Linked DNA regions of Drosophila melanogaster. The gene in region 1 interacts genetically with each later gene. Each region holds a gene or a part of one and is shown in the gene's direction. Other genes may lie near its edges. The genes, in order: Nmnat, axed and trp.

Region 1 (4,651 bases):
GGACTCGCCATCCTGATGTTATAGAGAAAGGAAAGTTGTTTACTCGGTGTTTAAGAATACCTTATCCTGCTGCACCTCACCCGTGGGGTTAGGCTAAATATAAGGATGTCGTCTGGCAAAGAACAAACTTGCATGCTCATTATTTTGCAAAGGGGTAAGATAAACTCCTGATTATAGTCTACACTTCAAGGGCGGAAAAGAAGCAAAGCTGTATCTGCAGTTCCAAGAAATCTGATTGTTCAACTGAATACCGTCTGATTTTGAGAAAAGGGTCACAAGTTCGAAAAAGATTCCGGTTTAGTGAAGTATTTTTTTTTTTTTTATATTTTCTGATTTCTTAGAAATAATAAAATGTTAATTTATGTGTTCAAAAATACCGATTTGACATATTGAGCATATCTGAATTAAAACGTTTTGTAAAATTAAATTGATCAACCCCCGATATTAATTTTTCCCTCTGTGCAGGCGGACGTCAAGGTCTCGCGAACTATTTTTGGGCGGTGGGGCGGCGAAGAAAACAAAAACAAGCGGTAAGCGGAAAGCGACAAAAACGACAAATAAGGCAATGCAAAAGTCTGTTGAAAAATATAGACGTCGCGACGTCTGCGGATTTGCTTGGGTTACACCAAAAGCAGCGCAGCGCAGCACAGCCGATGACGATGATGACGCTGCCTCATACCGCCCACACGCGAACGTTGAACGTCGAAATCCAAAAAGCGTAAGCAACAAGCTGGCGGATGATAAACATTGGGCATGAAAAGCACATCCGAGCACACAAAGGATCATGGCCAAAAGCGGAACACGCACTAAAGAGCCTGCCCGTAATTGGCTCTCCTGGCAGAGTGGGGGTGACCAAAACAAAGCACACACGCATACGCACACGCGAAAACCATCAAGTCTCCTCTCACCGAATTCGAGCAGGAGCCCGCCACACTGGGAGAGCGCTGCACCGTCACCAGCGCCATTTGTTGTTGCCGTGGTCGTGGACGTCGTCGTCGTCGCCGCAGCCGCTCCTCCACCTCCTGCTCCTCCTCCCCCGCCGACGCCTCTTGACCCTCGTGTTCCACCTGGCGCAGATGATGGCGATGCTGCAGCGGTGTCCCTTGCAATCCTCTCCTGCTTCGGCTCCTTCTGCTCCACCTCCTTTTCCCTGTGTGTGAGTGTGCGCGAGAGTGTGTGGTGTGTGTGCAAGTGTTGTGGGCTAAGGCTACAAATGCATTTTCATATCGCTGCCTGCTGGCCGTTGTTTTTGCAGTCGGCTCCGCGACCTCGTCCTGCGATCGTCTTGGTTTCCGCTTTCCGGACACTCTAGCCAGGCGGTTCTCTCTAAGAAACAGCGTGTCCTTACAATTAACGGACACACACAACGCTGCTAAATGGTAAATAGACTACACGAATTTTTCTTAAAAGAAAGACAGTGAGGACGCCATTTCTAATCGATAACACTAGTATCGTCAGGCAATCGTTCTGGCAGGGCTGGCTAACTATCGCAAGCGAAAGCAATGTTCGTGTGGTACACCGAAAAAAGTACTTATTAATGAGAAACGCAGTGATGTTTGTATACTTCTTGATATATCAGTAAAACAGGCTTTAATACATTTTTATGTACTCTTGCCTTTTTGATGATTAAAAATCAAAAAATTAAGTTACATTAAGTTATCATTTATCGAATAACAAGTCAAAGGTAGTCAGAGGTGGTAGCCACTGCACAGCTGTTTAGTGTTGGAAAATAACAACAAGCCGAACAGATGATTGTGAAAATCAGCTGGCCCAAGAACAACATAACAAGCGAATGCTTCCGGCGGTTTGGATCTTTTAAAAGACGCTCAAAATCGAAGAAAATGTCAGCATTCATCGAGGAAACAAAAAGCCTGCTGCCGCGGATCGCCTTCATAGCCTGCGGATGCTTCAGTCCACCCACACCCATGCACCTTCGGATGTTCGGTGAGTTAAACTAGATTGTGAAATTCTGCGGTACATAATCGATAAAATTACGCGGCATGTTTTTGTCAACAGAGATAGCCAAGGACCACTTCGAAATGCAGGGAACCCACAGAGTGGTAGGTGGCATCATCTCGCCCACGCACGACTCATATGGCAAAAAGGGTCTGGCCTCCGCCTTGGACAGATGTGCCATGGTCAAGCTGGCCACCCAGAGCTCCAATTGGATTCGGTTGTCCGATTGGGAGGTGCACCAGAATCAGTGGATGCGCACGCAGGCGGTGCTCCAGCACCACCAGAACTATATCAATAACCACATAAATTCCGGCGGGGGAGGCGGAGATGACGGGGAGAACACACATCTACCCGGATGGCTGCCTCGTGGGTTGCACGACAGTCGGGATCCTGTACATCTGAAGCTACTGTGCGGTGCCGATCTGCTGGAGTCCTTTGCTGTTCCAGGCCTATGGGCAGAGGCCGATGTAAGTCTTGATATATTTGAATAGTACCTTTTTTTATATGATTGTTCCCAGATTGAGGACATTGTGGCTAACCATGGTTTGGTAGTTATCACCCGGGCCGGCTCAAACCCAGGAAAATTCATCTTTGACTCCGACATATTGACCAAGTATCAGGTTAGAGAGACAGTACCTCGACAACATTATTTCTTATTCATTTCCATTCACATTTCAGAGCAACATTACGCTAATCACCAACTGGGTGCCTAATGAGGTGAGCTCCACGTTGATTCGGCGGCTCTTAGGACGCGGCCAGTCGGTCAAGTACCTTCTAGACGATCTGGTGCTGGAGTACATCAAGCGCCAACGATTGTTTAACTTTAAATCGTAGGTGGTCTTCCTGTTACCTCCCCTTAATCCTGCATGTTCACTTACAATTACCCATCTTTCAAACGATACGTACACTGAATGAGGCGCCACCTTAATCCATTTCACACAGCAGAGAACACACTTAACGTGCACCACCAGCAGTCTTTGTATTGTTTCCTTTTATGTCTTAAACTGCAGGCGGGATGCACCGGCTCCGACCGAATGCGACTCTTGACGCGCTTTGCACGTGAAAAAGAAGCCCTCGTCGCCCACACGCTTTCCAACCCACCAGCACCGCAAATCGCACCACTTGCCCCACCAGCACCATAAGCTGTTTGAGCCGTGGCGCCTCTTCATGGAGCGTGAGTGAGCAGAGCAGATCCGAGTTCAAGTTCCTATTTAGCAGTGATTCCTTTAATGCATGTTTATTTTTGCCCAATCTTAGCCCTTGTAAATACCCTTGTTAAATTAGCCATAGTTTTGCGGTGGTCAGTGTGCGTATCATCTACTTACACCGAATTGTTGCCAAAATGTAGTCCCATTAAACAATAACCTTAACTTTGTTGCTATTGTACTGACCATGCCCGCCTAACCCATGGAATGTAGTAAGTATATAACGGATGCGGTGCGTCCCAACCATTTGCTCTTTAACCACGCCTATACGGACAACAACAAGAACGCGAACAGCTACTCTATAGGCGACCAGCTGGAGCAGGACATGGACGAGTCGGACACTCCAAGCCCGCAACTGCAGCATACGCCTACGTCGCGGGTTTTCTGCTGCGGGGAGGTGCCTTTACGTGGATCCAAGGTGCTGCGATCCGGTCCTGGACAAGCGGTGCAGGTCATCACCATGCAGGCAGATGAGAAAGAGGAGGTGGGTATCCTTAACCGCTGTATCCATTGCATTTCATACATAGATGGAATCCAGAGTTTTGCTTTCAAACTTATGTTTAGATCCTTCTAATCAATTCCCCTCTTTCAGAGCCAAGCAAAGAAGCAGAAGATTTCCCAAGTGCAACTTTAGGAAACTGGAAGACGAATCTCACGCGGATTAAGACAGGGGCGCTGGAAGCTATTTGTTGATATTATATAAATATGCAAAATAAACACGTTCGTTACCAAGTTGACGGCTGCCCATGCTTTTGTGGGTCACTTCACGGAGTGGAGGGACAAGGCATTGAACTTCAGGCGACGTGCATTGACATTGCAGTCGTTGCAGGGCTTCGCTTTGGTGTCTGATGTCAGAACTTGTTGATGGTAATATGCCAGTTGCAGGCGAGAGTGGCCACCATTAGTTTAAGCTTAGAGGGACTGCAGTTGCTTGCTTCCCTTGGAAGAGTCCACATCGCGAATGTTCTTCTTCCGTCGCCAGAATGCTAAACCCGCGCCACGCCCTTCGCGCGCTCCGTCCTTTGCGCTTCCAAAGCGTCGGCCTCCTGTCCAGCTAACGCCCTCGCATCAGCACGACCAGTTGCCCTTCCTGCGAAGATCGCGGTTCAGCGCCCTTCCCCATTTCCGCGCCTACGAGGACGAACCGGAGAACCTTTCGCTTTTCATCGCCATCCTGTACGTGGTGGATTTGTTTGGCATCTTCCCATTTGTCACGCTGCCGGCATTGCTGGTGAAACTTGGATACTTTGGCATCCTGTTGGTGCTTTCTATCATCATCCTGCAGATCTATACCTCCTTCCTGCTCTCCCAATGCTGGACCATGGCGGAACTGCTTGATCCTTCAATTCAACAGAAGCGCAACTATCCGTATGCCGCACTAGCAGAGCTGGCTTACGGTCCCTATATGAGTCTGCTGGTGTCCGTGCTGCTCGATCTAAGCATTTTCGCCATGGCGGTGCCCAGCGTGGTCATGGCTGCCCAGAATCTAG
Region 2 (5,181 bases), on another chromosome or scaffold:
GCATGAGGATGACAAGTTCCCACGCACTAAGCTCCTGCTGTCAGCGCTGCAAATGGTCGACGAGGGCTATCCTATTCCATTGCAGGGCGAGCTACACACTCGTTTCCAAAACTTTAAGTTTACCAAGGATCTGTATGCACCGGTAACCAATCGCAGTCCTATGTTCGGCGTTGATTGTGAAATGTGTCACACGGAGGCGGGTTGTAACGAGCTAACCCGAATCTCTATTGTCAACGAAAATTACGAGACCGTTTATGAAACGCTAGTGTTGCCAAATAACCGGATCACCGACTATCTAACCCAATATTCGGGCATAACCGCAGAAATTATGGAGCAAGTGACCAAGAGGCTGGATGTTGTGCAAAAGGAAGTGTCCGAACTGCTGCCTCCAGATGCCATTCTGGTGGGGCAATCTCTAAATTCTGACTTGAACGCCATGAAAATGATGCACCCGTATGTAATTGACACCAGCGTGTGCTTTAACACATCTGGGGTGCGACGACGCAAGACCAAGCTGAAGGATCTGGCCAAAACCTTTTTACAGGAAATTATCCAGGAGAACATCGATGGTCACGATTCCATTGAGGATTCGCGAGCCACGCTGAAGCTCGTCAAGAAGAAGCTGGCAAACAGCATCGAGTTCGGAGACCAGATCCTCACGCAGCACAAGCAATTACAGGAGTTGGCGAACGCATCCAGCGGTGATACCATATCCAACAATCTGTTTGCACATGTGGCAAAGCGGGATAAGCGCACGGCCATTGTCACGGTCGGCGAGCTGCAGCCCCGTCTAAAGGAAGTGATCGAAAAGGCGGGAGAGGCAGCGCCCAAGGATCAAAGTACGTCGGTGCATGTCCACGAGGTATCTACGGCCAAGGAAGCCATTCGGAAGGTCAATGAAGTTGCACTGGAAAATGCCCTGACAATTGCCAACCTCCGCGTGCCAGAGCAGGACTTTATATTGGACAGTGCACAGCGGAGTGTTGCCAAACTGGACAAGACCATTGATCGCCTGTGGAAGTCAGTTGCGCACAACGGACTCTTCCTCGTCATCATGGGCGGATCCACAGAGTGCTCGAAGGGTGTAGCCAAAATAGCCATCAAGCGACTAAACGGATCGAATCAGACTATGGAAAGTTAGGGAGCTTTTAAGAACCTTACTTATGCTAACCGCCTCCATGGATACCCGCTCCCACTAAGGTCCTGAGTGTTGAAATCCAGCAGATAAATCAAATTTACCGTATCACACTGAAGACATGACCAACAGTTGCATTACCATACACCTGGGAAATGTCCTGCATGCATGAGTGCATCGATGAAAAATTGTAAAATTAAAAACAAATTCGATCAATAACGAATAATAAAATGTACATTTAATTTTTTTCACAAAATTCCATTGGCTTCTGCATAGTTGTATTAAATTAAATGAGCGGTAAAAATTATTATGGATTATTGTATAAAGAAAAAACTATACAAAAAACTAATTATTATTGATTCCATTTTAAAATTTTCTGAAAGGGTCAACATAATACATGGTTTATTGAACCGTAAAAACTGTTCGTGTCCGCAGGCAATTAGAAATAATTCCAGTATCCGTCCGATACATTTTCCGGATGGAGCATTCCAAACTGGCTGCTTGAATTTGACCCAGTTTCGTCTGGTTTGCATTGCCCGATATATGTGGCTGGTGGTGCTCGCTGGCCAGGCGGCTGTGTTGATAAGAGCCACAAATTTCCTACCTCCCTCAATGTGGTGCTCCGTTGTCTAGGGCCCGGCCCGAAAGCCCGAACTGGGCCTCCTCCCTAGAAGCGCCCACGCACTCTCGCTCTCCCTGGCTTTTTCATTTCCCTCTCTGTCGCTTTGGAAAGGGAAAGTCCCCGCAGCGGAGTATCTGTGTCTTATCACACGCTCGAAAATGTTGCGTCTTTTTTGGCTGAGTACTCATACGACCTGTAGGTCGTGCTCAAAGTTTCTATGCGCATGTCCCGCCGCAAGAATTTTCTGAGAATTTTCCCCAATTCCGGTGGAATGTTGCCAGACGGCTGGTGTTTTGCCATCAACTGGCAGGTATTTTCAAATATTATAACATATTTAAGTTCGACTTATGCCTTTCCGGGCCGAACACAATTGAAACTGAAGATTTAAAAGCCCTGGTCAGGATCACTAACTCATATGGTGCCCATATTTTGGACATGGACCAGTATGGTGGCAACGCCAGCCCGGGAAATTTGGTATGTTTTCCTGCTGTCTCGTTTGTTTTTCATATTTTTGGCTTGGCGCTCTTCGTACAAATCTTGTTGTATATACGCTTTTTGGCTCTCGAGCGGAGACGTCGTCGTCGTTGTTGGCTGCCTTTCCCAATTCCGTTTGGCACGAGGCGCGCAAAACTCTCGGATCGGATCGCATCGGATCGAAACGGAAATATATACGCGAGTATCGGCGGGGCTATATGGCCAAAATATCTGTATATATGTATCTGATTATTGGCATAAACAAATCGGCGTAAACAGAATTTGCATTAAGTTTGAAGATTTTGACATCGAGGCGGAAGTTCATAGTTATCTCAGCTGAAAATTGGCGAATAAATTTCGAAAATCGAGAGTTGGCCCATCCGACAAATTCATAAACTGGGGTAAGTCTCTGTGTATAATTAATCAGAATGCAAAGGAATGAAATGCTGTATACAAACAGAGGCGAGCAATTGGCCAACATAAATTGTGTATCCATAAAATACACAGACACTGGCGAATGAAAGCCTGTTCAAAGGAAAGTTTTCCGACTCTCTGCGTCTCTGTGTGTGTGTGGGTGTAATTATGCGCGTGTATGGGTGTATGGAAAAGTCGTTCACTGTGTCAGTGTTTCATTGTATCATCAGCTGGGCATCCATCGCGCATACGCCGCATTGTCAATTGTTACGAGCACTCACGCCCATTCCCCAGCTTCGCCCTTGGCACCAACTGGTTGCCCCAGCGCCAACCGACCCCAATCCCCGCCAGAAATCCCAGAATCGCGCTCTTGATATTGCTCTATTGGCCCATGCCAAACCCCATGAATTTAGCAAAGGTCTCCTCTTTCTTTTGCCAGCTTTTGCAAATTTGTTTCAACTGTTTGTTCCACTTTCATTCAGTGGCCACTCACCCTTTTGTTTTCCCCGCCGAACATGGAACATGTTGCGTAGGGTTTTTCCTTCACCTTCCACACCCCCAGCGATTTTCCTGCGCGTCGAGGGTGAGTTTTTCGCTTTTTTTCCGCCCTTCCCGTTTTCGTGTTTTGTTTGCAATTCGGGAGGCAGCACTTTTGTTAGCTCCAAAGTCCCCTAAAATTTGATTTCTATGAAAGCCGAAGGGAAATTGAATTTTACCCAATTTTTGTAATTATATGGTTTTGTTATTTTTGGTAATCTTCGATACCATAAAGCAGAATATTTGTGAAGTACTAGAGATAACTAATATAGGTTTTTATTCATACTCTTATAATATCGATGGAAAATTTTATACATAATTTTTTCATTTTGCTTGTTACAACTAGTTTCTGTTTAGGCAATTATGTAAATAATATTGCCACCTTTTCTCCAATCAATTCCTATACTTTGAAATTGGCATTTTTGGCGCGTTGCCAAAAGACCAGTGAGCAATTCGGTCGTCATTTGGCTGGATCTTCGCAGGGGATGGATGAGTAATGCAATTTTCCAAGCCAAGAACAAACAACAAATTCCATTTGTTGTATTTGCTCCGCGGCATTCGGTTTGTCCGCAATCAAATCAAATGATGTCATTTTCCCGTTGTGAAAAGCCATCCTGTCCGAAGGTGTCCATAGTGCCATCGATACGTAGTATATGTGTAGTAATATGGTGCCTGGTCGCGGAACAAACGCTCCATGAATGGATGAGTCAGTGGAAGTTACGGGATGGAGGTGTCTACCCATGGCAAATTGAATTACGCATCCGAAGTACTGCAGTTAGGCGGCTTCGGGTGAGAAGTTCAAAATCCAAATCGTATTTGTTACAGATAAGAATGTTTGCTTATTAATAAAGTATGGTAGTGTGACTATCAGAATGATGGGCTTCACGCCAATAATAAGATTGCCACTGCGAAAAGGAGTTCGTTAACCGTATAGTGTGATAAATGGTAATGATAAAACCAAGTAAAGATGATCATATAATTTCATGTTTTTGCATTTTTGTTGCATTAACAGCGAGCGCGCATATAATTTTAAGTAATTTTAGCTTCAACTGTTTCCAAAGTTTCATAATCTCGTAGTACTTAGACTGCTGCCCATGGGCTAATTTTAATAAACCACCTCATTAGGATGGGTATAAATAGAGGAGCCATTGCACTGGCTGCGAACTCTTCCTGCTCCGCCGAAGAATGTGGCAAGTGGTTTATTTTTGAACTATGCGGCAATAGCAGGTGGAATTTGAAGTTGGCAGTGTTCGGCGGATCAGGAAGCGAATTGTACTGGGATTAGATGGGTTGGGCTCCCAGTTCTTTCCCATCGAATTCTTTGGCTTGTTTTTTAGCAGTTTCATTTGTTCGATTGTTTGCTTTGAACCGCGCACATTGCGTGATGTTTACCGGCAGCCAACAAAGTGAGTAATTATGTTAAATTTCGACTAATTAAACATTTTCGCCGCCCGCCTGTTTGGCGTAAATATCGATATTGCTCCACATTGTTGATGCTGCTAATTAAATTTTCCCTTATAAATGCAAATATTTGATTCGGCCCGGCGATCGTAAACGGGTTTTCGAGCGATCCAATCGCTATGTTGATCTTGGGGAAATGCGTGCACAGTGGACCCTGTTGTCACCCAACCGCCCAGCCACCCAATGTCAAGGTCGTTCGTGAGGCGAACTTCGAGTGCTAACTGTTAACAGTTTTTGCTGTTGTTCTGGCCGGTTTCATATGTTTTTTCCCATCTGGAGCTTCCGCTTTACATGGGGACTCATTAGCAGTCTTCGCTGCTCCAGTAGCCCCACATGAAATACATATGTAAACACTAGTGGCATATGCCTCAGCGAGGGCAGATCGAAGAGTATCAGTCTTTCATATCTGTGGTTACCTTAGGCAGATATACCTTAATAGTTAATTATTAACAGTCACATACGACTCAAGCTGGAACTATGAACTGTAAAATTAGAGTTCTGAGACAAAGGTTTTTACTGTTCAAATAATTGCATTAAT
Region 3 (7,934 bases), 5.0 Mb from region 1:
ATGATTTGCGAATCAGTTAAAAATACAATAAATTTAATGTTAAATACTACTCATCGGATGCAATTCATAAAATCATTTTCTACGTGGGTACATTCAATTTGTTTAAACACATAAGTATCTTATCGGTGCCATAAAGCAAATCAGCATTGATACTATAGATTTTTACGATCATGTTGAGGGCTTAGAGATATAATTTTAATACAGATGGCCATAAAATGAATTTTATCCCGCAATCTTGACGGTTTCCGGTGGGGAGACAGTGAAAGTGCAACCTGCTACGCAAACCCAGGGAAAATGAGCTCTTTCGCTTTTCTCGTGGAGAACTGAGCACATAACTCACAAGGGTCCTTAAAAGCTAAATAAGGCAGGAGTTTTGTTGGAGGCCAATGAATCATTGAGTGCAACCCAGTTGTACACTGCAGAAAATCATGTATAAACCCAACATAGCATTTAGTTAATGGGAACTTATAAGAAGAATGTGCATTTAGCCACATTTGTGTAATGAGGAGTACCTTTATATAATTACGAGAATGCCATCCAGGTATTTTCAGCTATGGCCTCTAATTAATTCGCACTTAATGAGTTCCCCTCGACAGCTGTGACTTTAATTTTGAAATTCCTTGGGCCACCATCACTTCCTTCCTCTTCTCTTGGAAGCCATGCGAGTGGAGTGTGGAGTGCATTGGCCCCGCTAAAAACCCCGTACGACTTGAACACGTACGATGCCATTCCGCCCGGAGCTCCATTGAACCCCACCTTTCGAACACACACATTCATCTCAAAGGGCTGCTCCGTGAAAGTGGGCTTGTTCCTTTTCCTTTTCTCCGCCTTTAGCCAGGAGCTGGCATTTAGTTCCAAGTGCATTGACACACAAAAGCCCTGCGAGCGCCCTGAAGTAAGCAACATTCAACATTCAAGGCTCAAGACGCTCGGCTGCCAAGGACGAGTTGGGTCTTAGATGTACACCACCCCACCTCCCCCTCCCACTTCCCATGCAGATTAATCAATATTCATCAATCACAAAGTCAGAATCACTGACCCAGTGCCCAAAAGGCATTCGAAATCATTTCAATTCGGTAGATACTCGACTGTAAACTGCAGGTGTGGTGTGTTTTCCGGCTCTGTTGGTTAGCCAAAAGCTTAAAAGCTTGCATTTTCTCCTATTTTTAAGGGCTTTTCTCGGTGAATAGTTCTAGGATATGAACCCAAGTCCATGAATCCCTATTTACTCGCAAATTAACACCCTCATGCTACTTTTTGAATATTAAGTAGCTTTGAATTTCGGCTTGAATAGGTGTCAAAAAGTATGCAAAGTGCGTATTTTTTTTTTGGGCATTGATCTATATTGCTGGGTACAAAATATTAGACACCTATTTAATTTCATATCTCAACTGTATGCATCATTTCATCGAAATATAAGCAGATAATATTGTTCCATTTAGCACGTTTTGTTTTTCACTTACATATAAACCCACTGGGCAGTATTGATTTGGATTTTCAGGCATAAAAGTGGTGCGATTCCGTTGCTGGGGCTTCGAAAATCGAAAGTCGCTCATCACGTGCAATGCAACCACAAATGGACGAAAGATTCCTGAACTGAAATCGCTAAAATCGGTTGCTGCCTCCAAATGCAGCCCCACAATTACCGAAGTGCGGTCAAATGGGCCCATTGACTCGGGGTTCGCCCACACATTGACCGAGTTTTAGCCACATTGGGCACTAATGTAATTAGTGGAATATAGCGACCCGTGGCTGCCACTTTTCAGCAGTGCAACGCGGCTAATTGGAGGCGGAACATCGCCACGATGGAACACTAAAGGATACAGTGCGCGAAAGGATTACGCCAAGGCTCCCCGAGGAGCAGGGATAAATGCCCATAGTGTTTGTGAGATGTGAAGTGACCGAGTGATCCGATCCTGATAATCGCGTTCGCATAGACCAGTAAATCAGTGCAGATATGGGCAGCAATACGGAATCCGATGCCGAGAAGGCGTTGGGGTCTCGCCTGGATTACGACCTGATGATGGCCGAGGAGTACATCCTCAGCGATGTGGAGAAGAATTTCATATTGTCCTGCGAGCGGGGTGACTTGCCAGGTGTCAAGAAGTGAGGCTTCCTCCCTATGGCTTCGAGTAACTCGGCTAATATGATTTCGTCCTTGAAGGATCCTCGAGGAGTACCAGGGCACGGACAAGTTCAACATTAACTGCACGGATCCCATGAACCGCTCCGCCCTCATTTCGGCCATCGAGAACGAGAACTTCGACCTGATGGTGATCCTGCTGGAGCATAACATCGAGGTGGGCGACGCCCTGTTGCACGCCATCTCGGAGGAGTATGTGGAGGCGGTGGAGGAGCTGCTGCAGTGGGAGGAGACCAACCACAAGGAGGGCCAGCCATACGTAGGTCACATCCTGCCGCAGAATATGCCACAACTCTTACTCTTTTCCCCTCCTTTGGCAGAGCTGGGAGGCGGTGGACCGCTCCAAGTCCACCTTCACCGTGGACATCACGCCCCTTATCCTGGCCGCCCACCGAAATAACTACGAGATACTCAAAATCCTCCTGGATCGCGGGGCCACGCTGCCCATGCCGCACGACGTCAAGTGAGTGGGGTGGTGTAGGGATGCAGTTGCTCGGTGATATGGCTATGTAGTGAGCTTCCTCGTCCTTCGAGCGGCACGTTCCATTGTTTGTCCAATTGGCAACACACTTATGTAGCACATCGCTGGGTGCCTCTAATTTTAGATAATTGCGGGCAAATTAGGGTGAAATATTAATACAGGGTGTAATGTTGTGTGTGGGAAGAGCAGGTCCTTGAATGTTCTTAAATTGGGTCAATGGACTCAAGCCTTTAACAGCGTCATAAATGTCCTTGCTAGGAGAGAAGGTCCTTTGTACTCCTTTCAGATTGATTTAAATGTATTTATTATTATAGAACTCTTGGGTTCCGTACACTTTGTATATCATCGCTTAATCTCAATTGTTTCTAGGTGCGGCTGCGATGAGTGTGTGACCTCCCAGATGACGGACTCCCTGCGCCACTCGCAGTCGAGGATCAACGCATACCGCGCCCTGTCCGCCAGCTCGCTGATAGCGCTCAGCTCCCGGGACCCTGTACTGACCGCCTTCCAATTGTCCTGGGAACTCAAGCGCCTGCAGGCGATGGAATCGGAGTTTCGTGCCGAATACACGGTACGGTAGTAGTGTGCAATGTAAGCGGTGGCCAGTGTGCCACTAGAGTCTATGCGAATGCGAATGCGAGCCTTTGTTTGTGTTTGCCCAACAGGAGATGCGTCAGATGGTGCAGGACTTCGGGACCTCGCTCCTGGATCACGCACGCACATCCATGGAACTCGAGGTGATGCTCAACTTCAACCACGAGCCGTCCCACGACATCTGGTGCCTTGGCCAGCGGCAAACCCTGGAACGACTGAAGCTGGCCATTCGCTATAAGCAAAAAACGGTGGGTTCGGACTAATCCGTGCACATTAAGGAACTGTGAAGGTTACAAGCTTGTGGCTAGATACCCATGCCTAATCCACCACAGACCAACTGGGATTTAATAGCTTTATATATAGAAACGGATCTTAGTACCCTGCTTGAATTTATAAACATTACTCCCCCTTCTAGTTTGTGGCACATCCAAATGTCCAACAATTGTTGGCCGCCATTTGGTACGACGGACTGCCGGGCTTCCGGCGCAAGCAGGCCTCCCAGCAGCTGATGGATGTCGTGAAGCTGGGATGCAGCTTCCCCATCTACAGCTTGAAGTACATCCTGGCCCCGGATTCCGAGGGTGCCAAGTTCATGCGCAAGCCCTTTGTCAAGTTCATCACGCACTCCTGCTCCTACATGTTCTTCCTGAGTGGGTAAAGTGGGTGCTTAACACTTCATCCATCTAAATATGCGCCCATTCACAGTGCTCCTGGGTGCTGCCTCCCTGAGGGTGGTGCAAATCACCTTTGAACTCCTCGCATTTCCCTGGATGCTGACCATGCTGGAGGATTGGCGCAAACACGAGAGAGGTTCACTACCGGGTCCCATTGAACTGGCAATCATTACCTACATAATGGCTCTAATATTTGAGGAACTGAAATCTTTATATTCGGACGGCTTGTTTGAGTACATCATGGATCTTTGGAACATAGTGGACTACATATCGAACATGTTCTATGTGACGTGGATTCTTTGTAGGGCCACCGCTTGGGTAATCGTCCATGTGAGTCCATATGAATCTAATGAATAAATTGGAGTTACTGAAACGAATTGATTTCAGCGTGATCTCTGGTTCCGGGGCATAGATCCTTACTTCCCAAGGGAACACTGGCATCCGTTTGATCCAATGCTTCTATCAGAGGGCGCCTTTGCTGCCGGAATGGTCTTCTCCTATCTAAAGCTCGTCCACATCTTCTCCATTAATCCCCACCTGGGACCCTTGCAAGTTTCACTGGGTCGCATGATAATCGACATCATCAAGTTCTTCTTCATCTACACACTGGTGTTGTTTGCCTTCGGATGTGGTCTCAACCAGTTGCTATGGTACTACGCTGAGCTGGAGAAGAACAAGTGCTATCACCTGCATCCCGATGTGGCTGACTTTGATGACCAGGAGAAGGCTTGTACCATCTGGCGAAGATTTTCCAAGTATATTACATTCATTTCTATGTACTTTATCATATTGGCATCCCATTTCAATTTACTTTAGCTTATTCGAAACATCACAATCGCTCTTTTGGGCCTCTTTTGGCCTGGTGGACCTGGTCTCCTTCGATCTGGCGGGAATCAAGAGCTTCACCCGCTTCTGGGCACTGCTAATGTTCGGCTCCTATTCGGTTATCAACATCATTGTGCTTCTCAACATGCTGATTGCCATGATGTCCAACTCCTACCAAATCATCTCGGAGCGAGCCGACACTGAGTGGAAGTTCGCCCGATCCCAGCTGTGGATGAGCTACTTCGAGGATGGCGGCACCATTCCACCGCCCTTCAACCTCTGTCCCAACATGAAGATGTTGAGGAAGACCCTGGGCCGAAAGCGACCGTCACGAACCAAGAGCTTCATGGTAAGTTACACTCAGAGAAATTCAATATTTCAGTTTAAGTATTATACAAATCCACACATATATATTAAATTCAGTGTACTCTACTTTTAAATGATATTTCTTATCATATTACTTTTAAATGTAAGTAACATTTCGAAAGTTCGATTTTTTCAAGTTGAATCACCTCACAGTGAGAGGCGGCTCACAATCAATACAAATCTTAAGCGAAATCATTTTCAATCAAGCCCATGCAGAGCTATCTGTGCGTCAAATTGACGTCTAATACATCCTTTCTGTGTCCTTCCACCCTCTAATGCTCCCTGTTCCAACTCCCAGCGAAAGTCCATGGAACGGGCACAGACGCTGCATGACAAAGTGATGAAGCTGCTGGTCAGGAGGTACATTACGGCGGAGCAGAGGCGGCGGGACGATTACGGCATTACCGAGGATGATATCATTGAGGTGCGCCAGGACATCAGCTCCTTGCGGTTCGAGTTGCTGGAGATTTTCACCAACAATAACTGGGATGTACCCGACATTGAGAAGAAGTCGCAGGGTAAGGGAAGCCTACCCACATCCAAATTGGCAACTTACACGTGTCTTAAGATAGAAGTAGCAGTATATATGAATAATTATTTACAATTAGCTTTTGAATACCTAATAAAGTTCACCCCATCTTGAATATTAATTTGAAATATGTTGTGCTAGAAGACTACAAAGCTAGAATGGATTTTAATGGATTTTATTCACTAAACTTACTTTTGAAGGAGTTGCTCGAACCACCAAGGGCAAGGTGATGGAACGTCGCATCCTTAAGGACTTCCAAATCGGCTTCGTCGAGAATCTGAAGCAGGAAATGAGCGAATCTGAGAGCGGACGAGATATATTCTCATCGCTGGCCAAGGTCATCGGCAGAAAGAAGACCCAGAAGGGGTAGGTCCACTTAAATCTGTAAGACGCTTTGAATAATGGTTATTATTCTCAACAGAGACAAGGATTGGAACGCCATTGCGAGGAAGAATACTTTCGCCTCCGATCCCATTGGCTCCAAGCGCTCCTCCATGCAACGTCATAGCCAGCGAAGCTTGAGGAGGAAGATCATCGAGCAGGCGAATGAGGGTCTTCAGATGAACCAGACCCAGTTGATTGGTAAATTAATAAAGATGTGCCCAATGTATGTATATTTCCATACCCTTGATCTCCTCCAGAATTCAATCCCAACTTGGGTGATGTGACGCGTGCCACAAGAGTGGCTTATGTCAAGTTCATGCGGAAGAAGATGGCTGCCGACGAGGTTTCCTTGGCCGATGACGAGGGTGCTCCAAATGGCGAAGGCGAAAAGAAGCCACTGGATGCCTCTGGGGTACGTTCCAATCAATATATGTATATGTATTCCCTGGCTAATATATAATCTCACTTGCAGTCTAAAAAGTCCATAACTAGTGGTGGAACTGGAGGAGGAGCTTCTATGTTGGCTGCAGCTGCTCTAAGAGCATCGGTTAAGAATGTGGATGAAAAATCCGGAGCCGATGGCAAGCCCGGCACGATGGGCAAGCCAACGGATGACAAGAAAGCAGGTGATGATAAGGATAAGCAGCAGCCTCCCAAGGACTCCAAGCCGTCAGCAGGTGGTCCCAAGCCCGGGGATCAGAAGCCAACTCCGGGTGCGGGAGCTCCAAAGCCCCAAGCAGCTGGCACTATCAGCAAGCCCGGTGAGTCACAAAAGAAGGACGCTCCGGCACCACCAACCAAACCTGGAGACACCAAGCCTGCTGCGCCGAAGCCTGGAGAATCCGCCAAGCCCGAGGCCGCTGCCAAAAAGGAGGAGTCTTCCAAGACCGAAGCTAGCAAGCCGGCAGCCACAAATGGAGCAGCCAAGAGCGCAGCTCCCTCCGCTCCTTCGGATGCCAAGCCGGATTCCAAACTGAAACCTGGAGCAGCTGGAGCACCAGAAGCAACTAAGGCAACCAATGGGGCCTCCAAGCCGGACGAAAAGAAGAGCGGTCCGGAGGAGCCAAAAAAGGCTGCAGGAGACTCCAAGCCAGGAGACGATGCCAAGGACAAGGATAAGAAACCCGGCGACGATAAGGACAAGAAACCTGGCGACGACAAAGACAAGAAACCTGCTGACAATAATGATAAGAAGCCAGCCGATGACAAGGACAAGAAGCCGGGAGACGATAAGGACAAGAAGCCGGGTGACGACAAGGACAAGAAGCCGAGCGATGATAAGGACAAGAAGCCTGCCGATGACAAGGACAAGAAGCCAGCAGCAGCTCCTCTGAAGCCGGCGATCAAGGTGGGTCAGAGCAGTGCCGCAGCTGGCGGAGAACGAGGCAAATCCACGGTCACAGGACGCATGATCTCCGGCTGGCTCTAAGCCGCGGAATCCACTTTCATAGCAATTAAATAGTTAAGTCCTTTGTTTGTGTGAATAATAAAAAAAAAGAATCTCAAGTACCACGTTTCTGCAACTTGTTGCTAAAGGCCACCTGTTGCCAGCAACATCTCATTTGCATCGCAGCAACATTCATCATCCGCCCCGTTGTTCCGATGGCAATTTGTTTGTCTGCCATCCATCCGCCTGCTTTTCTGGCCTATAAAAGAACGTGAACTTCGACCAGAGGAATCAGAAGAACCGTGACCGTTCCGAGGATAACATCAGACCGAAAAACATATTCGCCAAGCCAGTGTTTCGTCCTAAATAGTCTTGCAAATATGAAATCTATGTTGGTCCACATAGTTCTAGTGATTTTCATAATCGCCGAATTCAGTACAGCTGGTGAGTGGTGGAAACATTACAAAATCGCTTTTAAGGAAATCTTAAACAACAAACTAGTCTATCTCGACTAAGTGCTGCTGCTATCTTTTGTTAACTTTAAAGTGAAA

What was found.
Region 2: of Nmnat (region 1) and axed, changing one suppresses a phenotype caused by changing the other (phenotypic suppression), as found in Drosophila melanogaster (one study listed by BioGRID).
Region 3: of Nmnat (region 1) and trp, changing one suppresses a phenotype caused by changing the other (phenotypic suppression), as found in Drosophila melanogaster (one study listed by BioGRID).

What each region holds. Positions count from the first base shown.
Region 1 is NT_033777.3:24,943,510-24,948,160, forward strand, and holds Nmnat (nicotinamide mononucleotide adenylyltransferase), read left to right. Parts: upstream 1-1,727; 5' UTR 1,728-1,748; coding exon 1,749-1,944; intron 1,945-2,016; coding exon 2,017-2,423; intron 2,424-2,474; coding exon 2,475-2,576; intron 2,577-2,634; coding exon 2,635-2,786; intron 2,787-2,966; coding exon of another isoform or gene 2,967-3,003; exon of another isoform or gene 3,004-3,324; intron 3,325-3,374; coding exon 3,375-3,645; intron 3,646-3,753; coding exon 3,754-3,795; 3' UTR 3,796-3,891; downstream 3,892-4,651. Other genes in the region: ssh (slingshot), read right to left, coding at 1-12, 81-140; mah (mahogany), read left to right, coding at 4,123-4,651. UniProt on the Drosophila melanogaster protein: Catalyzes the formation of NAD(+) from nicotinamide mononucleotide (NMN) and ATP. Essential for viability.
Region 2 is NT_037436.4:6,607,278-6,612,458, forward strand, and holds the start of axed (axundead), read left to right. Parts: upstream 1-2,047; 5' UTR 2,048-2,192; coding exon 2,193-2,231; intron 2,232-2,299; exon of another isoform or gene 2,300-2,632; intron 2,633-5,181. Other genes in the region: Rexo5 (RNA exonuclease 5), read left to right, coding at 1-1,141.
Region 3 is NT_033777.3:29,914,087-29,922,020, reverse strand, and holds trp (transient receptor potential), read left to right. Parts: upstream 1-1,731; 5' UTR 1,732-1,957; coding exon 1,958-2,106; intron 2,107-2,164; coding exon 2,165-2,402; intron 2,403-2,463; coding exon 2,464-2,606; intron 2,607-2,993; coding exon 2,994-3,195; coding exon of another isoform or gene 3,196-3,204; exon of another isoform or gene 3,205-3,215; intron 3,216-3,289; coding exon 3,290-3,466; intron 3,467-3,633; coding exon 3,634-3,868; intron 3,869-3,923; coding exon 3,924-4,222; intron 4,223-4,279; coding exon 4,280-4,647; intron 4,648-4,708; coding exon 4,709-5,066; intron 5,067-5,381; coding exon 5,382-5,601; intron 5,602-5,812; coding exon 5,813-5,978; intron 5,979-6,033; coding exon 6,034-6,194; intron 6,195-6,253; coding exon 6,254-6,408; intron 6,409-6,468; coding exon 6,469-7,425; 3' UTR 7,426-7,500; downstream 7,501-7,934. Other genes in the region: Capa (capability), read left to right, coding at 7,764-7,827. UniProt on the Drosophila melanogaster protein: A light-sensitive calcium channel that is required for inositide-mediated Ca(2+) entry in the retina during phospholipase C (PLC)-mediated phototransduction.